Linked DNA regions of Drosophila melanogaster. The protein of the gene in region 3 interacts with the protein of the main gene of each other region in a pairwise test. Each region holds a gene or a part of one and is shown on either strand. Other genes may lie near its edges.

The links. Proteins that work in one complex are often made in the same cells at the same time.
Region 1: the proteins of CG32633 (region 3) and CG18336 interact in a two-hybrid assay, tested with the Drosophila melanogaster proteins (one large-scale study listed by BioGRID).
Region 2: the proteins of CG32633 (region 3) and CG4318 interact in a two-hybrid assay, tested with the Drosophila melanogaster proteins (one large-scale study listed by BioGRID).

Annotation. Positions count from the first base shown.
Region 1 is NT_033778.4:11,292,693-11,297,174, reverse strand, and holds CG18336 (uncharacterized protein), read left to right. Parts: upstream 1-2,588; 5' UTR 2,589-2,909; coding exon 2,910-2,925; intron 2,926-2,986; coding exon 2,987-3,255; 3' UTR 3,256-3,399; downstream 3,400-4,482. Other genes in the region: CG42336 (uncharacterized protein), read left to right, coding at 2,005-2,493; CG30033 (uncharacterized protein), read right to left, coding at 4,386-4,465; dare (defective in the avoidance of repellents), read left to right, coding at 4,158-4,369.
Region 2 is NC_004354.4:13,152,378-13,157,307, forward strand, and holds CG4318 (uncharacterized protein), read right to left. Parts: upstream 2,548-4,930; 5' UTR 2,484-2,547; coding exon 1,773-2,483; 3' UTR 1,084-1,772; downstream 1-1,083. Other genes in the region: CG32645 (uncharacterized protein), read left to right, coding at 1-340, 452-580; CG4332 (uncharacterized protein), read left to right, coding at 2,719-3,612, 3,692-4,486.
Region 3 is NC_004354.4:13,559,311-13,564,509, forward strand, and holds CG32633 (uncharacterized protein), read left to right. Parts: upstream 1-2,360; 5' UTR 2,361-2,400; coding exon 2,401-2,407; intron 2,408-2,655; coding exon 2,656-3,506; 3' UTR 3,507-4,049; downstream 4,050-5,199.

The sequences.
Region 1 (4,482 bases), on a different chromosome or scaffold from region 3:
AATATCTTTATAGTCGTAGCGAAACCGCGACTAAATGGGTCGAAAGACTTTCACCAAGCGAGCAACTTAGTCAAGTGCTTGCTGGCCGTTTGATATGCACAGCTGTTGGATGTTTGGTTTTTCGTTCTTATCTGTTTTGATTTGAGATACCCTCGATTCGGATTGCCTTTGCGATCTTTTGTCTTACGTGTTCCATCTGGCCAGTCCGTCTCATTCCGGTTTTCTTGCGTACGTAGTCAAAAGTTTGTGGTTCTCAAGAGCGATAATGGCCCTCTGATAAGGAGTCGACCTGCCACCGTTCAATAGACTCTGTCGTACAGTCAAACCTCCGCCGCAAAACGTACCTTTTTGAAATCTTCGAATTTCCAGCATCTCTATTTTGAACATTGCTAGCGTATTTTTGCAGAGATCTTCAAGCAAAACATATTGGTTCCAAAAGTAACTTAATTAAAAAAGCCATTTCTAAATGAGCGTTGTATATGTTTTATAGGTAGAAAGATTAGAAGTGTTATCTTGATATAACATTTATATTAGCTGAAACATTGAATTCCAATTCTAGTGCTTGATATTGCAGAAATTAATAAAAGATCTATAAAATCAGTTCGCGATGTTCGTCTTGAACAATTCAAACTGTAGACGTTTATATGGTGGCCATCTTGTAACATTGTAGCCATCTATCGCTCGCGAATGGGACGGCACTCTTTACTGGGGTTTTGTCTTTATGTACTCGTGTGTCCGGCACTGATTAGTGGCTCTCCCTTATCGCATATGCACACATATGCTCTCCGCAATGCCAACTTCTTGCGATCACCTTTGAAAATATGCTGACGAAGGCAGGAGGCAAAACGAAAAGCGCAGCGAAAAGTTAACTAGTGGGCATATCTGGGAATAATGAAATACAAGCGACTGATTACACACGAGTGGCGGCTTATAATTATATTGATTTTAATATAAGTTTTAGAGAGACTCATTCAGTCCTCCCAAACAGCAGAAGCCGGAGCACGTAAGCACCGGCGATCTAGCGCCAAAATTAGTTAATATTGGAAAGTGTGCGATTTGGGGGGGATTAAATATCGTAGTTTATGTGATTTGTACAATCGTTATTATCTCTGCATGCCGCGTGTCAAACTTGTGTTATAGATAATCAAAATCCATTTTCGAATTCGATTCGTTTGTTTTGCCACGTTGTTTGTTTCTGTGATTTTGTTTGCCCCCCCAATAGCATGCTGAAATGCAGAAAGTAGAACCATAAACCGAATACCATGATTTCCTATATACCATCCATTCAGACGCGAACCGCTAAAAGCCAAAGAGCCCACAGAACCCAGCCCGTAAATTAAAGCCCCAAACAGAGATTAGATCATGGCTGAGGATCCGGTGAACCAGCAGGCATTCGCTGAGGACGTGGCAGCTGCCGCTGCGGCTGGAGGAGCCGGCGGTTTTGCCGGTCCCGAGCCCGGACATCCCGACTTTAAGATGCCCAGTGCCGAGGAGATCTGGAAGCTGGTCGAGGGCATGGAGGGAATTTCGGACGACGAGCGAGCCGAGCTCCGCGAGAGCATCTTTAACCCGAAGCCGCCGTCGCCGGAGGACTTCATGCGCCAGTACGGGCATCCGGGCCACAGTTCCCGGGAGTACCTGGTGTTCTTCGTGATGCTGGCCCTCATACTCATTGTCTTTGGTAAGCGTCCTCCGGAACGAGCCACTAACGAGTCGTATAACCCTTATCGGGCGCGATATACGCACCCACCTGGGTTTCTGCTTAAAGGGCGATAAGGTTTTAGGAGGCGGCTATGTCGAAGCACTCACTCACTCGCTCACGAGCCACAGCTAGAATGTTTGCTTCGTTTAAAAGCGTTCGATTTTTGATAAGATAACCAGTGGTAAGCGTAGGATCCACCGCAGACATAGGTAGAGTGGAATCCAAAGAGCAGTATTTGCCAGAGACCCATGCCGGGCTGTAGTTGACACACCACTTAGCCCCTTTTCCGAACAACCCAAAACATGAGTTGGTCGGGTTCCAGTGACGAGCTCGGGGTTATTGAGCAGCTGAAAAAGTCCGTGGAGTCGATCGTGGCCAAAACTGGGCCCAGCAGCAAGTTCTCCAAGGATCTCGTCCAGCGGATCGGCGAGATGCAGAGCAAGCTGGAGTCCCTGGCCGAAACGGATCGGCATGTGTTTCTCGCCGAGATGAAGGACAAGTTCCAGCAGACGATTGGCAGAATCGAGGAGCGAATAGTGCAGCACGCCCATTTCGCACAGACCTACTCCAGTTCCATAGTGTCGGCAGTGATCTTTCTCTTGGTCTCCATATTCGGTCTCAGTTCCCTTGATCGCATAATGTATCAACGTCACCTTACTAACCGTCTCCCTTCTTTCCGCATTACAGCTCTCTTTGGCTACAAGCTGTACAAATCCCTGACGGAAAAGGAGCTCAAGAAGCAGGAGAAACTGAAGAGCAAGCAACAGAAGAAGGCCAAGAAGTCAAACTGAAGGAGATGGAGGCGAGGATATCATTGACGTAGTGCACTTTCCGGCCCTGAGACCTTCCATCTTGTTAATCAATACAATCGCCCTGTAAATGACTAAATCATAAACCAGTAAACGTAATAAAATAAAACGTACCCCATAACTCTTTTAAATGCCACGGTAATTGTGTTGTTACGACGAGTCGAATTAATTGCCATTAAAATACGGCATCAGGAAATGCAAATCGGTGTCGTGACCTAACTTGTTGCTGCCATCTAGGCAATCCGTCCAATCCTGGCCTCCGTTGTCATGGGAAACGGGGTCGTTTTGTCGAAGCTTCTCCTGTCAGGCCAGCTATTAATAGTTAAATTCAGTTTCCAGTTACCCAGTTAAGCAGCAACACTCGGAAAGGATCAACAATTTTTGCGGAAATAAAAAACATGTCCTATTCCAGCCGTAAGTTAAAAGCTCAACCATGACTTATCTATTAATCTAATGTGTCAACATGCCCTTCTAGGATTTGGTTTCGACTTCCATCTGCCGGATGAGGGATGGTGCTACCCGAAGAACGACATGCATTTCATCCGCAGCGCGGAATGGGTGCCCGTGGAGAAGGCAGGCGTGGGCCGCTCATTCGCCAATCCCAATGGCGTGATCTATCCGCGGGTGGTAGGCATGATTCCACGCTACGGCGGCCACGTTCCGGGCAACAAATTTCGTGTGGGCAACACCTATGGCCGTTCCACCATCGACGCCAAGCGTCATCTGGCCCTCAATCATGATTGAGGACCGAGTTATCGGAACACTCACTCACCATTAGCCAATCAAATTCGCTGTGTTACGCTTACAGAAGCACCCGAAATAAATCGTATCCAGTAGAAGCCTGTAGAAAATGGCAAATAGAAATAAAATCATACAAATTCAAATGTCCAAGAAAAGCACATTTAATTTATGATGGCTTTTTCGAGCAATAAAATTAATTAAACTTTAGGTCACAAGATAAGAATATATTCGTTATGGTACACAAGGTGCCAAAAACACTTTTCTCCTAACAAATATCAAGAAAAGTAACTATAATTATTGATCGCACGCGAAAAATTTTAAAATAAAATCTCAAAAAGTATTTATTTCATTTATTATTTGACTTTTAGTACATTTATTACAACATTTCTGTAAATGCTTCAATATTTTTTTATAATAATAAATACTTCTTGTTAATTTTCAATATTTTTAGAAATGAAAGGAGTGATATGTATATTTAAACGCCTTATGAGAGTATCAAGTATCAAAAAGGCGCGCAATTTAAATTCTTGCTCCGCTGCAACTGTCTGTATAACAATATTAAAACATCCTTACTTTCCTAGCTTTCTATTACTAATGTACTGTCGGTGCTTGGGGTCATATATTTTTAGATTTTTCATAGGAATTTTCATCTCAGAAAAATTAAATTAAACCGAAATCACGTAGTGTTACCATAACGCAATGAGAGCAAATACTCTGTTTTGTTTGGATTCCGTTGGGTATTTTGGGGACTGCTGGCGAAAGTCTTTCGAGAGATAACGAGTAAATAAGAAATCATCGTTAGCAAAAAACTTTTTTGAGAAGATCACCTAGCAAACCGACTGATTATCTGTAAGATACGAAAACGAGCTGCTTTCCCAGTAGCAGAGATCGGCGACTGATCCACGATGGGCATCAATTGCCTTAACATCTTCAGACGTGGCCTCCACACGAGTTCCGCCCGATTGCAGGTGATCCAGAGCACCACGCCCACCAAGCGGATATGCATCGTAGGCGCCGGACCCGCCGGCTTCTATGCCGCCCAATTGATCCTCAAGCAGCTGGACAATTGCGTGGTGGATGTGGTCGAGAAGCTGCCGGTTCCCTTCGGACTGGTGCGGTAAGCAGAACAATCTTTATAAGGCGGTGCTGTTGGCTGCCAGGCCAAAGCCAAATATTGGACCCACTACGGAGCGGAAGATGCCAGTGAAGTATGCTGAAGAGATCGACATG
Region 2 (4,930 bases), 410 kb from region 3:
CTGCAAGATCCGACTGCCCAAGCTGACGGTGGCAACCGCCTGGACCCTGGCCATGCTCAATCTGTTCGTCCTGGTCTTCGGGCTGTACAAGGCCGACCTGTCACAGTTCACCGCCGCCGCCTACAGTTCGCTCAGCCATTCGGCCTGGGCGCTGTCACTGGCCTGGATCACCATCGCCTGCTCCACGGGCTACGGCGGCTACATCAACTCGCTGCTCTCGGCGCCCTGCCTCTATCCTTTCTCCCGCGTCACCTACTGCGCCTACTTGGTCCACCCGATAGTCATCCGCTCCATGGCGCTCAATTCGGACGCGCCGCTTCACCTGGGCGGGGATCTGATGGTGAGTTGGAAGATGAAGTCGCTGTAGAATCGCTGTCTAAGAAAACAAAATCTATTAAATTGGTTATACAACGAAAAGGGTTTATCATAACTTATTTATTGCTTATTCCAGGTTGTCATGTTCTTCGGTCTGACGGTGGCCTCCTACTTCCTGTCCTTCGTGGTGTCGATGTCCTTCGAGGCGCCCGTCGTCACAATGCTGAAGATCCTCTCGCCTAGTCGAAAGAAACGCCTCGCCTAAGTCCTGAGCCGAGATCCGACCATTTCCGATTATTTATACCCTCCATTTTGTCATGTTATCTATTTCTTGTCTATCAAACAATGCCCACATATTTATAGCATCGACTCATCTGCACCCTCGACTCTTTCGGATCGTTATCTATACATGTACTTATTACTCTGCACCACATTTTTCACTCACAATGTGTTCCAGTTATAAAAGTTAAAAAAAAAAAACAAACAAACAAATCAAAATCGAGGAAAACATGACGTGCAACTTGAAGCGTGCAAATCAATTCAACCTATTTTTATCATATTTTTGTTTCATGATGTGTACATTTTAGTCCTTTAATTTATTCCAAAGGTTTGGAAATTTCGCGCGTGACGAAGAGAGAGAGTTATACATAGTACTTCATAGTTATAATTATATAAAACTCTAGTACCTAATTTTATGAAATCATGTTGTATATACTATATGCTGTATATTGTTATACATAAACCTTTAAATAAAAACTGCTACCAAATACAGTGTCCCAGCGTTTAGTATTTATTCCAACGATCATATATCGGATTGACAAAAAATGAGTATAATCGTTGTGAGGTTCTTTGGAGGTGTTCGCTTTTCGAAGTTCCCTATACTTTGGTAACACGTTGCATTAGTCTTTTAACATCATGGTCGTTCTTCTTGGTTTGGCATTAATTATGGTGTGCATGGTCTTGTGGTTCTTAAGGGCAGAGTTTCTGTTGAAGATCTTGGGGCATCGGGGACACTTGTAGGATCGCATTAATTATGGTGCATGGTCTTGTGGTTCTTAAGGGCAGAGTTTCTGTTGAAGATCTTGGGGCATCGGGGACACTTGTAGGATCGCATTAATTATGGTGCATGGTCTTGTGGTTCTTAAGGGCAGAGTTTCTGTTGAAGATCTTGGGGCATCGGGGACACTTGTAGGATCGCATTAATTATGGTGCATGGTCTCGTGGTTCTTAAGGGCTGAGTTTCTGTTGAAGATCTTGGGGCATCGGGGACACTTGTAGGATCGCATTAATTATGGTGCATGGTCTTGTGGTTCTTAAGGGCAGAGTTTCTGTTGAAGATCTTGGGGCATCGGGGACACTTGTAGGATCGCATTAATTATGGTGCATGGTCTTGTGGTTCTTAAGGGCAGAGTTTCTGTTGAAGATCTTGGGGCATCGGGGACACTTGTAGGATCGCATTAATTATGGTGCATGGTCTCGTGGTTCTTAAGGGCAGAGTTTCTGTTGAAGATCTTGGGGCATCGGGAACACTTGTAGGATCGTAATTCAGGTCTCGAACTATGTACGCGCTCATGGCGCCTAAGACCGCGGATTTGTGCGTAGGACTGGGAGCATTGTAAGCATTTGTAAGGTTTTTCACGCGCATGGACCCACATGTGACACTTAAGGTGCGCAGGTAACATGAAATACTTCCCGCAAATGTTACATTTATGTGTCTTCTTCAGCATTTTCTTCTTGGTATCCTTCTGGGCGCTGCTCTGGCTCACATTGCCATTCCCGTTGGAGTTTGAGTTGGGGCACATATTCTCCACGTTGTCCCCCGGTGAATCGATTGTCAAGTCAATTGTCTCCATCTCCTGGCTGCCATCGACTGGCTCAATCAGTTCAACATCGGAGTCATTCGATCCTTCTTCCTCATAATTCATCTCACTGACCACCATCTCATCCTGCTCAATCACCTGCACGCTGTCCATCCCGTAAGCAGTCTGCGCATCCAGCGCACAAGACTGGCAAATGGTCTTGGGAAAAGGATCCTTCGGTAGAACCGGGAAGCCGCACCAATCGGAAATCATGGTCGCTAGGGAAACGCCGGGTAGCGGCATCGTTTCGAAGATGCATAGCATGTTCTCCATCTCCCTCAAACAGACACGGCACATCCTGGAATCCATTGCTTTTAGTTAAATTTAATTTTTTGACATGTATCACGTTGGGATGGGAATGATAGTTTGGAAACACGTGCTAGGAACGACCGTTAGGGACAATAAAAACCGATAGTTTTTGAAGCTTTAGATCATCGATACTGCCGGAACTATCGATAGCTTCTTTTAATGTTTTGCCGGCTCTAGTGCCAATACCAATAAAACGCCGGCCAACGCACCAACGAGAAAACCGTAAGAGGAGGACATGGCCCTGCCCTCGATCTCCACGCTTCTAGGCGTTGCATTTCTGGCGTACATCGGCCACTCCATCTACCAGATGTCGCAGCTCTTCACTACGCTGCAATGCAGCGGTGTGCCGTGCTACACATCATTCCTGGCGGACAGGCCACGCCTGCAACTGGCATTGTTTTCCTCCCTCAGCAGAAGTCCCATTGCCACCGAGGTGCGGGATCTGTACAAGGCCAAGAGGTTCGACTATGATCAAAACTTTGAGCACGACTTCGAAGTGGATGTGCCGCTGAGGACGCGCCGGAATGGCTCCCTGTATCTTCATGTGGTCTTGGCCTTGGAGGGTGAGCCACTGGAATGGCGTAGCCTGCGCAGAGATGGGCCCACCGTTGTCCATACGATGAGTCTCACGGATTACATAGTGCCGCGGGCGGAGGCCTTTAAACTGCTTGGAGATTCCGAGAAAGGTGCAGCAGCCGCTGTCCAGGAGAAAGAAAAGAAGAAAGCCTCCACCACTGGACGTCCCAGCACCCACATCCGATCGAATGTTTACGTCACCCTGCTCAACGATCTCTATTCCGTTTCGCAAGCGGATGTCCCACCTGAAATGGCCCCCTTGATACGTGTCAATCGCAATCAACAGATCTTGCCCATCCTGCAGACTGATACATTTAATACGCGGCTAAAGGATCTAGTGCCCGTCACCCGCAATACCACCGAATTCACATTCAGCTTCCACTACAAGCCCGTGGGCGTGGGCAAGCTCCGTCTAATGCTGCTCATGGAACACGCCACCCAGGCGCTGCTCACCATTGGATTTGCTACCAAGGATATTGACGAGGTGAAAGGCATCTTTTCGGACACCAATGTATACCTTTTGTGTGGCACCATCTTTGTGTCCAGCATCCATGTGAGTAGAGATTGAAAAATTGCAACATACGTCATATGCTCCAGTCCTATAACTAATTTATGTTTCCCTTTTCCCGCAGATGCTCTTCGACTTTTTAAGCTTTAAGAACGACGTGGCCTTTTGGCGCAAAAAGCAGTCGTACGAGGGGCTATCAAGCCGCACCACAATGTGGCGAGCGTTTTCGCAGATCGTGATCTTTTTTTATCTGCTAGATGAGAATACGTCGTATCTGGTACTTGTGCCAGTTGGCCTGGGCACGCTCATTGAGCTGTGGAAGTGCAAGAAAATCTTCCGTCTGGAGCTTAGCTTCAGTGGCCTGGTTCGTCGCAAGCTGGAGCAAGTTGACCGGCGGAATGGTGACCAAGCTGGCGTGAAGTCAGGTCAGCTGGCGGAGGAGCAGAAGACTGATCAGTTTGACAGACAGGGCATGCGATATCTGAGCTATCTGCTGTATCCGCTTTGTATATGCGGAGCGGTCTATTCGCTCCTCTACCAACCACACCGCTCCTGGTACTCATGGACACTTAACTCACTGGTGAACGGAGTTTACGCCTTCGGTTTCCTGTTCATGTTGCCGCAACTGTTTGTAAACTACAAGCTGAAGTCTGTGGCCGCATTGCCGTGGCGCGCATTTATGTATAAAGCATTTAATACCTTCATCGACGACTTCTTCGCCTTCATCATCACCATGCCCACGGCCCATCGGGTGGCCTGCCTGCGCGATGATATTGTGTTTATTATCTATCTGTATCAGCGCTGGCTGTATCCGGTTGACAAGAGTCGGCTGGACACGGGTCTGTCCATTAGCGAGACCCCGGATACGGGCAACAGCTCATCCGCTTCCATTGCTGCCAATCGCAAGAAGCGAAATTGATCCTATATCAGCAAAAGGAGTAAAGGTTGCACATTCCGCCTATAGCTTGAGGTCTAGCCCGAGACGTAGTAATCCGAGTCCGTCTTTAGTTTACTAGTGATATTAATCCTGTGTTGTAGTCTAAACCGTTTAAAGCTTGTGCGTAAATCGTTAAGTTAAGAAGCATCAACTGAAAATGCGTTTTATACAATTTTAAATCAACAGCATCAAAGGATTGCAGAACTATGGAACTTACTAAAACACATAATTTTAAAGTATAAATTATGAAATATTGTGAGATGACTCAAACGCTGGCCTTTCACATTGTTAGATTGGTCAGCTAAAACCCTACAATAATATATCCAAATGTAGATCAAAACGTATTTTAGAAACAATCAGTTAACATGAAATCGTATAGGATCGTAAGGCTACAAGTGATTCTAAAATCTCAATTAACCAACAAAT
Region 3 (5,199 bases):
GAAATTGCCGGACTCGTTGATGAGACTTTAAGCTCTGGCTGCAGTTGAAACCCCGCCCCTAATTACGTATTACCAGATGACTGCCATTAAGTGTTCCACAACCCCCCGCCCCTCACTCCGCACCCCTTCCCCTGACCACAGCCCCTCTTTTAAAGCTGAATCATCTTAAAGTGCTGGACAACAAGGACGCACCATTAAATCCACTGAATGCTCCACATTTCGGTTGGCTTTGGTTTGTTGATGTTGCCAGTGTTGGGTGGGCATGGCCCAAGGGTTGGGGGGCTGATTCCTGCGGGTTATATAAGCGTTGGCGCTGCTTCTGCACCCATTAGCTGATACGGCGGATCAGCGCGAGGGAGGAGGAATCCAAACCCAAGCCCAAAGCCAAAGCCAGACCAGTCGCAACCGCAGACCCACGTGAGTGACCGGCGACGACTAGACAGTGCGAGTCCATGCTTGGATGCATACATACATACATACATATGTATGTGTGCGTCTGGATGTGACCCACGGCGATGGCCCCTGAAACCAGGATGCACCTAGCCCAGAAGCAACCCTCCTGCGTTCGCCGCCCCTGGCTACCCTCGAAAAACTGCCGCATTGTGTGGCCAGAAAGCGAAACCGCGACTGCAACTGGCCCTGCAATAGAAAATGCACTGCAAAAAAACTGGGAGTATGTATTTAAAGTACTTGATAAAGTTGGATTATTAAATAACACAATTAAATTTAATATTAATAGAGAAGTAGTATTCTTATCAAGATGAGAACTAAGGAGCTATGTTAATCTTGAACCAGGTGTGGCCAACTTTATTTTTCACAGTGTGGCAAGGATAAGCAAAGCGACCAGAAAAGTATAACCAGCAAAGATGGACCCATGGAGAACGGATGCGAATCGAGAGCGGAAAGCGTGACAGATAGATGGGTTGGAGCAGCAAGGGGTTAATGAAGGAGGGCATTTAGTTCGTGGTACTGTGGAAATGATTAAAATGTATTAGGTGAAATTAAGTTGGCCAAACAGAGAAATGGGGGGGGGGGGTTTAAATAAAGAGGCCAAAATGAGGTTAAAACGTTGCACAAAGCCAAATGGAGCCTGGCTGGGCGAAAACAAATTCATTAGGCTGCAGTGGCATAAAAACATCATACCCACAAAAAGAAGATGCACAACGAAAACCGAACAAAGTTGATTTAAAGTATTATAATCTGCAACATTTTTGCGTATTTCGAGAATGCAGCTTGTTTACCCAGTTTGAAGTCAAGTTAGACTTATCTCTGGTTAATTGGTTTGCTCGAGAGCAGGGCGCGCAAAGCTGCTGGGAAATCGTGGAAAAATCGTAAAGCTTAATAATGACACTCCCCACACAGCCCCTACCACCAGTCCAGCATTGGGAATTCACAAGCCACTGTAAACAGGTGCAAACGTTGCGTTGCACAGCAATTTCAGCAACCCCTCTTAACTTTTGCGCCCAGCTTTCCACGTTTTCCCTTGTTCAAATAGTTGTAAATGGGCGAAAATGCAAACAAAAAACAGTGATCCACTTGAAAGGCAAAACAAGAAAAATCATTCAAAGAGGCAACAATGCTGGGAAAACAAAAGGAAAACGAACGAAAACGAACTGCAAAGACAGCGACCACTAAATAAGTGAAGTGCGTGGACGACTGGACGAGTGGAAATGCGGAAAAGTGGGAAAGCGGAAAAGCGCGCGCAAGAAATTTGCAATGTGGCGAATAAATAAAGGATCAAGCGATTCCCCCATTCAAATTGGCGAATATTGGGCGGTTAAATGGAGATACATGCACGGATGTAAGGCAACTCGAAAAGGTGGCACAACAAATGAACGAGATAACTGGTTAACCACGAGTTGTAAACGCGCAAGCTATTGTTATTAGTATGTTAAAAAGCGGAATAAACTTTTTGTGTTTAACTACAGCTCCATGAAATATGTATATGCTATATGTAACAAACAATAAGCGAGAAAGTTTGTCGGCAACAAAAAAAAAAGTAATAACCATTATGATATTATGAATGCAATTACATTCTTGACGACTCGAAAGAATTTTAAATGTATAAATTATAACGAGATAAAAAAATAAAATATAAATCAAATTTACTTAACATTTATAACATTTCTAGTGCAATATTTACTTTCACTATATGGGTTAATAAAATAAACTTGCCTGTTTCTCGATGTTAAACCCCATTACTTCCAATTGGCCAATCGATTAGAAATTCAACAAGAGTTTGCCAAGATCTGAGTCACTTGAGGTCGGGCTTCTTATCTGGCCATGTAGGTATATTCCCGATAAGCCCTATCAGCGACATCGAGGCGGAAACACAAAAAGACCATCAAATCGACCACTTTCACAGTTGAAAGTCAGAGCTGCTGAAGAACGGACAAGAAAATGGCAGGTAAATAGGTCGTAAGGCCAAGATGCCATAACAAAAAATGAAAACATTTAACTAGGTGGATGATATAAAACAGTTACCAATCTTTAAAGTACTTAATCAGTTGAAACTCAAAATAAATTAATTCAATTTTGGAAACTAACTTGGCCTAGCCAAATAAACTAGTTTACTTGCCATGAACAACAGAATTAAAGAGTTATACCATTCGGTGTGCTGTTAAATAATCGTTTCATTTTTCCATTATCCCCCAGACCACAGATGGATGCACTTCAGCAACGGCAGCGTGCCGCCGAATGCCGTGGTGGCTGGTCACGATTCGGACGGGGACACCATCTACGTGGGCCGTGCCTTCTTCTCCAACGACATGCTGCCGGCGAAGGTGATTCCCAACAAGGGCAAGGCCTACGTGGCGTATGCGCGCGAGGAGCACGAGCTGGAGAACTACGAGGTGCTTTCCGGCTACAACTACGAGTGGCTGTCGGCGGAGAACGGGGAGGTGCCGCCGGGCGCCGTCAAAGTTGGTCGGAATGTGGACGGCGAGTATTTGTATGCGGGCAGGGGTTATCATGCCGGCAGCTTAACCATGGGCAAGGTGCATCCATCCCACGGCTGCCTGTATATTCCCTACGATTCCGATGAGGTTAAGATCTTTGCCTACGAGGTGCTGTGCCAGCCGGAACGTTGGATCGACACCACCGCAACAAATATTCCGGATGGAGCTCTGGTTGCTGGGCACGATTCCAACGGGGACACCATCTACGTGGGCAGGGTGTTCCGCAATGGTGATCTGCTGCCAGCCAAAGTGGTGCCGGCGAAGGGGAAAGCCTATGCCGCCTATGCCCAGGCGGAGCACGAGCTCACCGACGTCCAGGTGCTGACGGGATCCGGATTCCGTTGGGTTCCGGCCTCGCACGGAAATGTGGCTCCCGGAGCCCTGTCCTCCGGTCCGAATGTCGACGGGGAGCCCCTCTACGTCGGCAGGGCCATCTACTGCGACAGCTTGAGTGTGGGCAAGATCCATCCCTCGCACGGCTGCATCTACATCCCATTCGGTGGCGAGGAGGTGCGTCTGGAGAATTACGAGGTTCTGGTGAGGATCTAGACGGACAGCTTTGCCTTTATTCCATTTTTTTTTTAATAAATCTATTTTTTACACACACAACAGAAGTATACAGATTAAAGTATAAATTTAAGTTTAATTCGATCGACATCGAGCAACGTAACTGATAAAATTTATGGTAATGCACCCAGTAATTCTAAAAAAAAAGTACCCCTTTCATAGAGTTTTGGTGATAATAGTTCAAAGTGGTTGTCATAGAAATTTCGAGGTATTGCGGATGTGAGGAATTTCTTCTATATGCGGGCCTTATGTTATCACATCGGTTATCAATTAGCAACAATCAATTGATTAGTTGGCCATAAATTTGCGTCAACTTGTAACATAATTAACCATTTGCCTTCGCCCACTGACTTAACAAACACTGCATCGTAAAACTCAGACAGATATCGCAGTTATCAGAATGTGTACATATATGCACTCGATGCTTTATAACTCGACCTTTCGTCTGCCGAGGTAAAAAGTTATAGGTATCGAAACTCTTTGTAACTTTCTTTGTATATTGAAAAGTTTATTAAAACGTTTCATAAAGTTAAAGTCAATTCATTAGTGGCGGGCGTAGCGTTTTATTTCATAGCTTATTAATGTGCACACGTTGTAATCAATACATGTTTTAAGCACTTATTTGACAGCACAAAGTTTCCCATGGAAATACTTTTTTTCGCAATTTATTTTATAGGAAAGTTGCTAAAAGGCCTTAATCTTAACACTATCATTGGCGCCACCTATGAGATGATTATCTGCACTAACCGTGGCGCCACCTATGACGAGCTGGAGAAAGTCGAGCCGTAGCAGTTTGCCTAACCGCCGACAGCTGGCGATTTAAGCTTTCGACTGGTTCCTGTCTTGGCTAAATGCATTGAGCTTTCTTTTCCAGTGTGACCGTTCCAGCGTAGTAACCAAACACCACGCCACACCATTGCGCCATACAGATATTTTAGGTAATTTCAGCGACGCCGCAGTCGACGTGCAGCCCGCTGCGCCCGACGGTCACACTCTGCCCCCAAACAGCTCCAAAATCGGTTGTCGTCGCGAAAAGTGCGAATCGAGTGCATATTTGCTGCAAAAAGAAGCGAGAACACGGTGACGTGACGAAAGCATTCGAGTGACGAAGAGTGCGAGCGCGCTGCATTTGTTTACGATTCCGATTCCGATGCCATTGGTCAATTGGTAAGGGGCTTTGGGAAGTGTAAGAGGAAGAGCGTGCGGCGCGGCAAGTAACGAAAGAAGAAGAAGCAGCAGCAGCAGGGCACACGCAACGTGCAACATTGTGTGCGAGCGTGTGTGCGTGTTTGTTTGTTTGTGTGACAAAAATACAACAAGTGCAAGCAACAATAGTTAGCGGCAGCAACAACAACAGCACCGAAACTCCTTGCCAGAACGAGACAGCAATAACAACAGGAGTGCGAAAGCGGGAGAGAAAGAGAGACAGCTGTTATTGTTGTTGTTGTTGCTTTACAATGTTTAATGGGAAACCTGCCGCCAAAACAACAACAAATCAGGTAAATATGCCGCTTAGCCAATTACATTCTGAAGCATTATTTATCTGCGCTGTTTACTTTGTTGCATTCGTCCCTAAATTGGTTTACTATTTACCTTTTAACTAATATAAATTCCTCGTTCTATATATGTTTTGCCTAATCAGTTAATTTATTGATATTTTAGCCGCTGTTGCAAG